3 linked regions of the Saccharomyces cerevisiae S288C genome follow. The gene in region 2 interacts genetically with the main gene of each other region. Each region holds a gene or a part of one and is shown on either strand. Other genes may lie near its edges.

Region 1 (2,985 bases), on a different chromosome or scaffold from region 2:
GCACGATCCGGGCGCTTTCAATGGTAAACATGCCATTGACAGATTTAAAGGTGTTGCTGCAACATTAGTGACTGCTGCTTTTGCCTTTGGTGGTTCAGAGTTTATTGCCATCACCACTGCAGAACAATCTAATCCAAGAAAGGCCATTCCAGGTGCGGCCAAACAAATGATCTACAGAATCTTATTCCTATTCTTGGCTACCATTATTCTACTGGGTTTCTTGGTGCCATACAATTCCGATCAATTATTGGGTTCTACCGGTGGTGGTACTAAAGCCTCGCCATATGTCATTGCTGTTGCATCCCACGGTGTCCGTGTCGTCCCACACTTCATTAACGCCGTTATTCTACTTTCCGTGCTGTCCATGGCTAACTCCTCCTTCTACTCCAGTGCTCGTTTATTTTTAACTCTATCCGAGCAAGGTTACGCTCCTAAGGTTTTCTCCTACATCGACAGAGCCGGTAGACCATTGATTGCCATGGGTGTTTCTGCATTGTTTGCCGTTATTGCCTTCTGTGCTGCATCTCCCAAGGAAGAACAAGTTTTCACTTGGTTATTGGCCATTTCTGGTTTGTCTCAGCTTTTCACATGGACTGCCATTTGTTTATCCCATCTTAGATTTAGAAGAGCCATGAAAGTCCAAGGGAGATCTCTTGGAGAATTGGGTTTCAAATCTCAAACTGGTGTTTGGGGATCTGCCTACGCTTGCATTATGATGATTTTAATTCTTATTGCCCAATTTTGGGTCGCTATCGCCCCCATTGGTGAAGGTAAGCTGGATGCACAAGCCTTTTTCGAAAACTACTTGGCTATGCCAATCTTGATTGCACTTTATGTCGGCTACAAGGTCTGGCACAAGGATTGGAAACTGTTCATCAGGGCAGACAAGATCGACCTAGATTCTCATAGACAAATCTTTGATGAAGAATTAATCAAGCAAGAAGACGAAGAATATAGGGAACGTTTGAGGAACGGACCTTATTGGAAAAGGGTCGTTGCCTTCTGGTGTTAAAAAAAAAAGCATTTACTTCTTTTATATTTATTCATTTTTGTACTTCTGTTTTGTAGTAATAGCATACGTGTAATGATAGACGATTTTCATTTTAATTCTAGTCCTTTATGAGCGAAGAAAAAAAATAAAAAGCACTAACGATTGCGTGATGGAAGTGGAGAGGAAAATATAAGTGAAATAATATGAAGTGAGAGAAAAATGATTTCCTTTTGTTCTTAATGCAACAGAAGAGGTTTGATTTCATCCGCATATGCAATTTTGCCTTAGTAGGGGTGCAACCGTTTTCGTCGTGCATCAGGAACGATCTTCTTGCCTTTTTTAAAAATCTACGTTAAGAATTTTTAATTTTGTTAAGGTGTAATTAGCATTAGAATGACTGAAGCATTCAGTTTAACCAACTTGTTCTGCGATATTTTTACTTCTGAAATAACAATGTCTGCGAGTGTTACTTGATTATTAATCAATATTTGTCAATGCTCTTCCGAATAATTTTTCAATTTGTCAGCTTTGCTCTGCGCTTTTCCTTACTGCGACAATAAATGGCAAAGGAAAAAAAAATACAGTGTCATTTGCAGATATGACACACTTTAACACCTGAGTGGGTCATCACTACTTTGTGTTTGTCTCCACCCATGTTGTGATCGAAGAGAGATATAAAGGTTGATCATTTTTGGTTTTTTAAAGCTATATACACCATCAAAATCAAGAACACCAGACCTCCAAGCCAAAGAAATGTCCCCAACTGGAAACTACTTAAACGCTATTACAAACCGTCGTACCATCTACAATTTGAAGCCCGAATTACCACAAGGTGTCGGTTTGGATGATGTAAAGAGAACTGTACACGTTATTCTCAAGAATACGCCAACAGCTTTTAACTCACAAGTGAATCGCGCTGTCATTATCGTTGGTGATACACACAAAAGGATATGGGATGCTGTTGCGAGCGCAATGCCAACTGCTGAAGCCAAGAAGAGACCAGAGTCTTGCAGAGATGAGGCTTACGGTTCAGTCATTTTCTTCACTGATGAAGGACCAACTGAAAAACTGCAAAGAGATTTTCCAGCCTTGGCAGCCGCTTTCCCAACATGCGCCGCTCATACGACCGGTGCTGTGCAAATTCAGTCTTGGACTGCCCTCGAACTATTGGGATTGGGGGCTAATTTGCAACACTATAATGACTACGTCAAATCTGCTTTGCCTCAAGATGTTCCTATTGCGTGGACTGTACAATCTCAATTGGTCTTTGGTGTTCCAACTGCCTTGCCAGAAGAAAAGACTTTTATCAATAACGTAATCAACGTTTATCACTGAACAGGAAATTCGCATATGAGGAGATCTTAATTTATCTCATGAAGTAATGATACCTCAGCGATGTGCTCGCTCGTTAGTATGCTTCATAAATTCATTATTATTTTTTTTTGGAAGTGTTTTTCGACAAAAGTTGCATTTTTACGAAGGATATGTAAACTCAAGAAGTACTAAATAAATATAAATACAATTCGAAAATTTGAAAAAAGTAGGAGACAACACTTTCCTTCCTCACGAAGAAGTTAAGCTTGGGTTTGTGACTTACTAACGTCAACGTACAATCGCGTTACAAACAAGATGCTTGCATTCTTACCTTACATTACAAGGACTTAGACGAAGAAAAAGTTCAGAAACACTGCTTACACTATTCACCAGACCCGCTCCTTCTCCTAACATCAATAACGAACAGCACTATTGATGTAAGAACGTCTTAGCTTAGTAATAAAGCTCTACCTTGTTATCGTACAATAATCCAGTATACCGCTTTTACTAATGATTATTCGAGAAAAATCGGACTGTGGCGTTTTACGTGAAAATTACGTAAAGAAAAAGATCCTGGGGTGCCTCGAGCTTTTCGGGCTAGGGTCTTGGCATTTGCACCTTGTCCAAACTACAGTATATAAGGACACCATACTGAAGGAACTGACTACATAATTTGTACT
Region 2 (3,759 bases):
AATTAAGAGAGATGATGGAGCGTCTCACTTCAAACGCATTATTCTAGCATGGCCTTGTACCACGGTTTGTCGTCATGTTGTAAATCCTCTAAATCGTAATTATTACCTCTTCTGGATGAAGGAATCCAGCCTTCAGATTTCCAAGGTAAAACACCTTCTTCCCATAATTCTTGAATTTCTTCTAACGATAGGCCTTTAGTTTCTGGAACAAAGAAAAAGACATAAAAAAACATGGCAACCAAACAGCCCATGAAGACATAACCGTAGTAGAAGTTAATGGCAGATGTGATGAATGGGGTGAAAAATGCAATCAAGAACCCCCATACCCAATTGGAAGCAGAGGCCAACGCCATACATTTCGACTTGACTCTCAGTGGGAATGATTCTGCTGTGATGACCCAGGCAACTGGCGCCCAGGTTGTGGCATAACAGAAAATATAAAAACAGGTAAAGACAATCATACAGTTACCGGCACCTTTAGAAGATGGCTGGCTTTTACCGTGAGGATATAATCTAGTAACACCAACAGAGGCGTAGATGACCATACAAGCCATCATAGTGGCAGCGCCCAAAAGTAAACATTTACGATGTCCCAAGTTTTCGACAGTCCACAAACTAAAGAAAGTGGAGGCAAAGTTGACTACACCAATGACAATGGATGTTTCAAAGGAATCATCCAGGCCAACTGACTTGAAAATAACGGTACCGTAGTAGAAAAAATAATTGTTACCGGTTAATTGTTGGAACATTTGAACAAACACACCCATCAACAAACGTTGAAATACTTTGGTCTTGGTGGAAAATAATTCCCCCCAGGACGCATTGCCAGCCAGTTTTTCAGCTTCTATACCGGCCATGATCAGATCTAACTCTGCCTGGACGGCAGGATCCTCTGGTGACACCTTGTTAGACTTAGCAATGGAACGCTTGGCGTCTTCTACCTTATTCACCTCACATAAATAACGTGGGGATTCAGGAACTAACGTCAAAGCGCCAATCATAAATAATGACCAAGCGAAACATAGCCCTAATGGAACTCTCCATTGAACTGAGTTCGAATAGCTCTTTGTACCGTAATTAGTACAGTAGCCCAAAAAGATACCTGCAGTAATCATCAGCTGATAACAAGAAACTAGTGTGCCTCTCAAGTGCTTTGGAGCAATTTCAGAGATCAACATAGGACATAAGACGGCGATGCCGCCGACACCCAAACCAGATATGATTCTACCAATGAAATATTGGTACCACTTGTTGATAGAGGCAATTTGAATGATAATACCAACTATATAAACCGAGACGACAATCGAAAGACCCTTTTTACGGCCATACATATCTCCACCTTTGGAAAGTATAATACCACCAAAGGCACAGCCAATATTGAAAATGGCGACGATTAAACCTGTTCTGACGTTTGACAAATAGTGGGTACCATCCTTATGTTTCATACCAAACCTTCTCAAAAAGTCTGTTTGGACAACAAACCCAGAAATAGTACCGGTATCCCAGCCAAACATGAAGCCGCCGAAGGCAACACACAAACAAAGCAAGGAAACGGTAACATATTCAGACATGGGCTTCTTGGGTATCTCTATAGGAACACTTTGGGAGCCTTCAGACCCTGACTCACCGGCTTTCAATTCATCATTAGAATACTTTTGAGATTGTGCGCTTAAATGGGAATCTTTACTGAGTGAAGAGATCACGTCTTCACCAGCTTGGGGTTGCTGTGAAACAACAGGCATATTGTTCTCCTCAACTGCCATTATGAAAGAATTATTTTTTTTATTATGTTAATCTTGTGTTTACTTAACTATTACTATTCTTGATGATAATTGAATAAGGTGCATAATGAAGAGCAATTCACAACACCAAATTTTCAATCCAATTACTGATTGTTTATATATGTCTACAAAACTTATCCTATCTCCACATTTTAGCCTGCGAAATGTTTGTTTTTTGAACAATAGCTCTCCAGAATGTTGTATAATTTAAGAATATGTGCACAGTTAACTTTCTAGCAGGAGTATAATGCCATTTGCTCCCCATCTTGAGATGGGAAGGGCTTAACTAATCTCGGTTCGGAGTGATCCGCCCCGATACTGCCTTCTGCCTTAATATCGTCCAAGGCACATGGACCCCTGAACGGCGCAGATATCTCCGCACGGACGAAAGACCGCCGGTGCCTTCCTGAGGCAACCGCCCCTTTCGAATATAGATCACGTGACCCATTTTTAGCTACTAATAGAAAAAGAAATTGCAACCTACTTAAGCCATTCCGGAAGGAAGCTTTCCGAATTGACGTTGAGTACCTTTTGTGAAAAGATTCTACCGCATTTAATTGGAGTTTGATGCAAAGTAGTTGCCAGTTACAAGTTGAGTGCGGCTACCTGATATTTTCTAGTCCTATATTGCTGTGATCTGAATCTGGAAAGTTCCCCTGGTCCGTAAACCTCCTTGGATTAGTACAGCCCGTTATGCTCAGTAAATGTAATAGATGTGCCTTCTGCAGCGAAACTGGTATTGTAGGAGACATATTACTGTCGTCTTGGAAGCAAAATTAATGTTTTGCTGCTTTTACTGTCGCGTTTAACAGTTGATTTTCCCAAAAAAAAAAAAAGAAGTTAACAGCATCTATATAAAGAAGGATATAGATAACATGCACATTTTCGTATGTAATAGTTATGTTTCTTATATCTTGTACCCATATAACAAAGACACAAGAGCTTACAGAAGTTTGACCTTCTTGATGTCTTGGTTAATTCTAAACATGTAGTACGCCAATGTGATCATAATGAAAATCAGCAGTGCCAACCATACACTTATTTTGGAAAATATCTCATCATGACCTTTGGTCTGCTTGCCATACAGCTTGGCATCTTGTCGAATTTTTTCTTGTTCTTTTATCAATCTGTCCAGGTTTGCGTTCATCGAAAGAAAATCTTGGAAACTATCGTCACTTATGGCTGTTTTCTTCAGATCTAACAGTGGTCTTAAACGTTGAATCAGTTCACGTTCATTCTCCACAATCTTGTTCATCTTGCGGAGTAATGGATCGATATCATTTGCCATGATTTTCCCCTCCAACTTGTTCATCTTTTCGAAAAGCTCGTTACTCGTTATACTTTCTTCCTTATCAGAAAATGGCATCTTTTCCCTGAAACTCTCTTCACCAGTTTGAGAATTGATCACTTTAGTAACCACTCTGGGTTGTCCCATAGGATTCACGTTAGGAATTAGCGAATCCTCTATAACTCCGTCATAAAGCTTCATTTTCAAGATTTCAAACGATTCTTTGGATGCATCGTTGATAGCACTTGTTCCAATCCTAAATGGGCTGCTGCCCATAAATTTAACTTTCCTTGTCTGGAAACACACTCTGTTGTCCATTTGCAACTTTAACAAGTGATTATCTAGTGGATTGTAAGTCAATCTTAATGTTGATGGTACCATGGAATCCTGGTATTGGAACAGACATGACGCAAAGTACGGTGAGGATTCAATATCAAGATCTTTTGTTCCGTCATTCAAATACGCTGTCACGCTCTCTCCCAACTTATCGTCTAATCGTAACAATATCATCAAACCATTAAACTTCTTCGAACTTCCACCAAATAACTCGGTACTATCTCCCTCATTTCCTTGCTTCAGCCAAAATGCAAGACCCCCCTTTGTGCTGCCTCTGAACCCGAAACTTCTAAACGTCCACTCTATTGTCATTGCATCCTTTATTGAATATTCAGGTTTCAACCAAAGTGAACC
Region 3 (3,759 bases), on a different chromosome or scaffold from region 2:
TCACCTTTTGACTATTTTATATGCCAATTCAGAAACCGTTATAATAGAAGTTTTCTACTACAAAATTTACAGGATGTTGTAGCTTGATTGCATAATATTTTTTTAAAACGGATAACCACCAACCCTCGTCAGTGACTTCCCATTATGAAAATTTTCTCTTCTAATCCTTTTTGGTACCCTTTTTCCTATCATGCGCCTCGAAACAACTTCCATAGTACGTGCCTGCTACTGTGAGTAGTTTACTGCCGCAGTCAAACACTATACTGATTCAGCATCCATCAGTAAGTGCGCGCTAAAACGACAACTTTTTCGTACCTTTACAAGTAAGGAGTGGTTAAGGTGTATAGCTCATACTAGATATTAAACTTCGGAGAAAAGTCCCTGTTTCAATGACAAATATGAGTTGCACAATAGAATTTTTATATCTATGATTACGCTTGGTAGGATGAAACTCTTAAATTCCGTTATAAGTTTTATAAATCGCCGTAATTGCAAAAATACAGGGTGATGCGTATAAGTCTCATAAAAATCAAATCATTCCCTCTATTGCAACCATATCAAATTTTGATGATGATTATTTTACAATTTTCATTGCCATGGATGAAAATAAACGCTGATATCTTTATAATTAACCCGGAATGGAAATTGTGCACAGTACATCAATGGCGTTTCGAGTATTAAGACCTGTGATTTAGAGCCAATTAGCCAAGTAAAGCGACATTTCCTTTCTATGTTTGGCATCTTTTTTTTTTGGCCTTAAAACAGTGTTTCTATAAAATTAAGGGCCAACTCTTACAATAGTAATGAGATTAATAAGGCCCAAAGAATATTTTGGCCATTTCTTTTTCGTACAACCATATAGTTTTCTCAAGTAGCGACGAAAGAGAGATAACTGAAACAAAATGTCATGGAAGAAGTGCTTATATTAAAAAATCTATGTCGGAAATATTTCTATAGGGAAAAGTATACTAAAATCTTACTCGAGCTTTGAAATGAACAAGCCTAAACCGCCCAATTCCAAGATCTTTAATATACTATAACTTGAAAGTCATACCTGTTATATCACTCCAGAGGTTATTGTGGGAGCATATTTAATGCTTTGTGGGTAAGCTTGATAAACTGTAGTTCTACCACTTTTCCCAGGATACTGATTATGGTAAAAGTTCTTATTTGTCTTACGACTTAGATTTAGCACTCACATTTGTCATCATATGTTGAAAAATCAAGCTGGAATTTATTGGTGGATCTTTCATCTCCATTTATACTTTTTACTTGTTTTTCTCCAAGCAAAAAGATTTCACGTTGTTCGGGAGGTAAATATGAAGTAGGAGAGCAGTCAGGTAGAGTGGTTATCCCATCAGCCAGAACCTGTCCGTAAACAGGTTGTGGACTACAGTATGTGTGTTTTTTTCTTTCTAATTACTCAATTTGGATATTTTGGTGACTATAAAGACCTCTCGTAAATTTCTGAAAATATGCTTCGGTTCGAATCTGTGGTCTGCAGTGCAGCGTGTTGGTATTTTACCGACAGTTTTAGCGAAATATGTATAGATCTGTCACGCTTGCAACATCGCGACAGGTCGATATACTAAAATTACAGCATGAATTTCTGATCTATAATCACACTGTTGCAGTTTCCAGAGAGTCAATCATATTAAGTCCTCAGTTTGAATCAATGTTGGCTTTGTTCTTCTGGAGAGGAATCAGCTCGTTATATGTTTGTCTTTTTCTCTGCTCGAGAGTCATCGCGACATTCCACACCCCGCGTTTTACGTGCACAGAATCTTTCGTAGAAGGGAGCATTTGACATCCTGTCAGCCATATGCAATGAGTATGCCACAAGTTCATGATAGTGTTGACTATAGAATATAAAAAAAAGGTGGGGTCATCTGTAATCGTTGTTTGTAATTCTTAGAGGCCTGTTCTTGGAATTATTATGCAAAGATTACCATCACAAAATCTAACACAAATAGAGATACAGGTCTTGTAAAGCCATTACCTAGCTATGAAAAACTTATCTTTTCTCATAAACAGAAGAAAGGAAAATACAAGTGACTCGAATGTATACCCAGGAAAGGCTAAGTCGCATGAACCCAGCTGGATAGAAATGGATGATCAAACTAAGAAGGACGGCTTAGATATTGTTCATGTTGAGTTCAGTCCGGATACAAGAGCGCCAAGCGATAGCAATAAAGTAATAACAGAGATATTTGACGCTACTGAGGATGCCAAGGAGGCAGACGAAAGTGAAAGAGGAATGCCACTTGCGACAGCATTGAATACATATCCCAAGGCAGCAGCTTGGTCACTATTGGTCTCTACAACTTTAATCATGGAAGGGTACGACACAGCTATTCTTGGAGCTTTCTACGCCTTGCCTATTTTTCAGAGAAAGTTTGGCTCACAAAATGACAAAACTGGAGAATGGGAAATTTCAGCGTCATGGCAAATCGGGCTGACCTTATGTTATATGGCAGGTGAAATTGTGGGGCTACAGCTAACGGGGCCCTCCGTGGATCTTGTTGGAAATCGTTACACATTGATTATTGCATTGTTTTTTTTAGCTGCCTTCACTTTTATACTGTACTTTTGCAATAGTTTAGGCATGATTGCTGTGGGACAAGCATTGTGCGGGATGCCATGGGGTTGTTTTCAGTGTTTGACGGTGTCTTACGCTTCTGAAATATGCCCATTGGCTCTGAGATATTACCTTACAACCTATTCAAACTTGTGCTGGTTATTTGGACAACTTTTTGCAGCTGGAATCATGAAAAATTCTCAAAAAAAATATGCGGATTCAGAATTAGGATATAAACTACCATTTGCCCTACAGTGGATTTTGCCAGTTCCTTTAGCACTGGGAATTTTTTTTGCACCTGAATCTCCATGGTGGCTAGTTAAAAAAGGAAGGTTTGATGAGGCAAGGAGATCACTTAGAAGAACTTTAAGCGGCAAGGGACCTGAAAAAGAAATACTAGTAACTCTGGAGGTGGACAAAATAAAAGTGACTATAGATAAGGAAAAGAGACTCACAAGTAAAGAAGGCTCCTATAGTGATTGTTTTGAAGACAAGATTAATCGAAGAAGAACGAGAATTACTTGTCTCTGCTGGGCTGGTCAAGCCACTTGTGGTTCAATACTAATAGGTTATTCAACTTACTTTTACGAAAAGGCTGGCGTTAGTACTGAAATGTCCTTCACTTTTAGTATTATTCAATACTGTCTCGGTATTTGTGCTACATTTCTATCTTGGTGGGCGTCAAAGTATTTTGGTAGATATGACCTTTACGCTTTTGGACTAGCCTTCCAAACCATTGTTTTTTTCATTATTGGCGGTTTGGGGTGCTCAAGTACGCACGGTTCCAAAATGGGAAGTGGTTCTCTTTTAATGGCTGTAGCATTTTTTTACAATTTAGGAATTGCCCCGGTCGTTTTTTGCCTAGTCTCTGAAATGCCATCTTCAAGACTAAGAACGAAAACAATCATTCTAGCACGTAACACTTATAATGTGGTCAGTATCATATGTAGCGTTCTCATCTTATACCAACTGAACTCTAAGAAGTGGAACTGGGGCGCTAAGTCAGGCTTTTTCTGGGGTGTCTTATGCTTTTGTACTTTAATCTGGGCTGTGGTTGACCTACCAGAAACTGCCGGAAAGACTTTCGTGGAAATAAATGAGTTATTTAAACTTGGAGTTTCTGCAAGAAAGTTCAAATCGACGAAAGTAGATCCGTTTGTTGTCAAAACCCCCCCTAAAGA

What was found.
Region 1: mutations in GAL2 (region 2) and FRM2 together harm fitness less than expected from each alone (positive genetic interaction), as found in Saccharomyces cerevisiae (one large-scale study listed by BioGRID).
Region 3: mutations in GAL2 (region 2) and MPH3 together harm fitness more than expected from each alone (negative genetic interaction), as found in Saccharomyces cerevisiae (one large-scale study listed by BioGRID).

The regions. Positions count from the first base shown.
Region 1 is NC_001135.5:74,045-77,029, reverse strand, and holds FRM2 (type II nitroreductase), read left to right. Parts: upstream 1-1,744; coding exon 1,745-2,326; downstream 2,327-2,985. Other genes in the region: amino acid transporter AGP1, read left to right, coding at 1-1,012. UniProt on the Saccharomyces cerevisiae protein: Type II nitroreductase, able to reduce 4-nitroquinoline N-oxide (4-NQO) into 4-aminoquinoline-N-oxide (4-AQO) via 4-hydroxyaminoquinoline (4-HAQO), using NADH as reductant. involved in the oxidative stress response.
Region 2 is NC_001144.5:288,216-291,974, reverse strand, and holds GAL2 (galactose permease GAL2), read right to left. Parts: upstream 1,764-3,759; coding exon 39-1,763; downstream 1-38. Other genes in the region: EMP46 (Emp46p), read right to left, coding at 2,725-3,759. UniProt on the Saccharomyces cerevisiae protein: GAL2 is a facilitated diffusion transporter required for both the high-affinity galactokinase-dependent and low-affinity galactokinase-independent galactose transport processes.
Region 3 is NC_001142.9:738,063-741,821, reverse strand, and holds the start of MPH3 (alpha-glucoside permease), read left to right. Parts: upstream 1-2,005; coding exon 2,006-3,759. UniProt on the Saccharomyces cerevisiae protein: High-affinity uptake of maltose and maltotriose. Also transports alpha-methylglucoside, glucose and turanose but not melezitose or trehalose.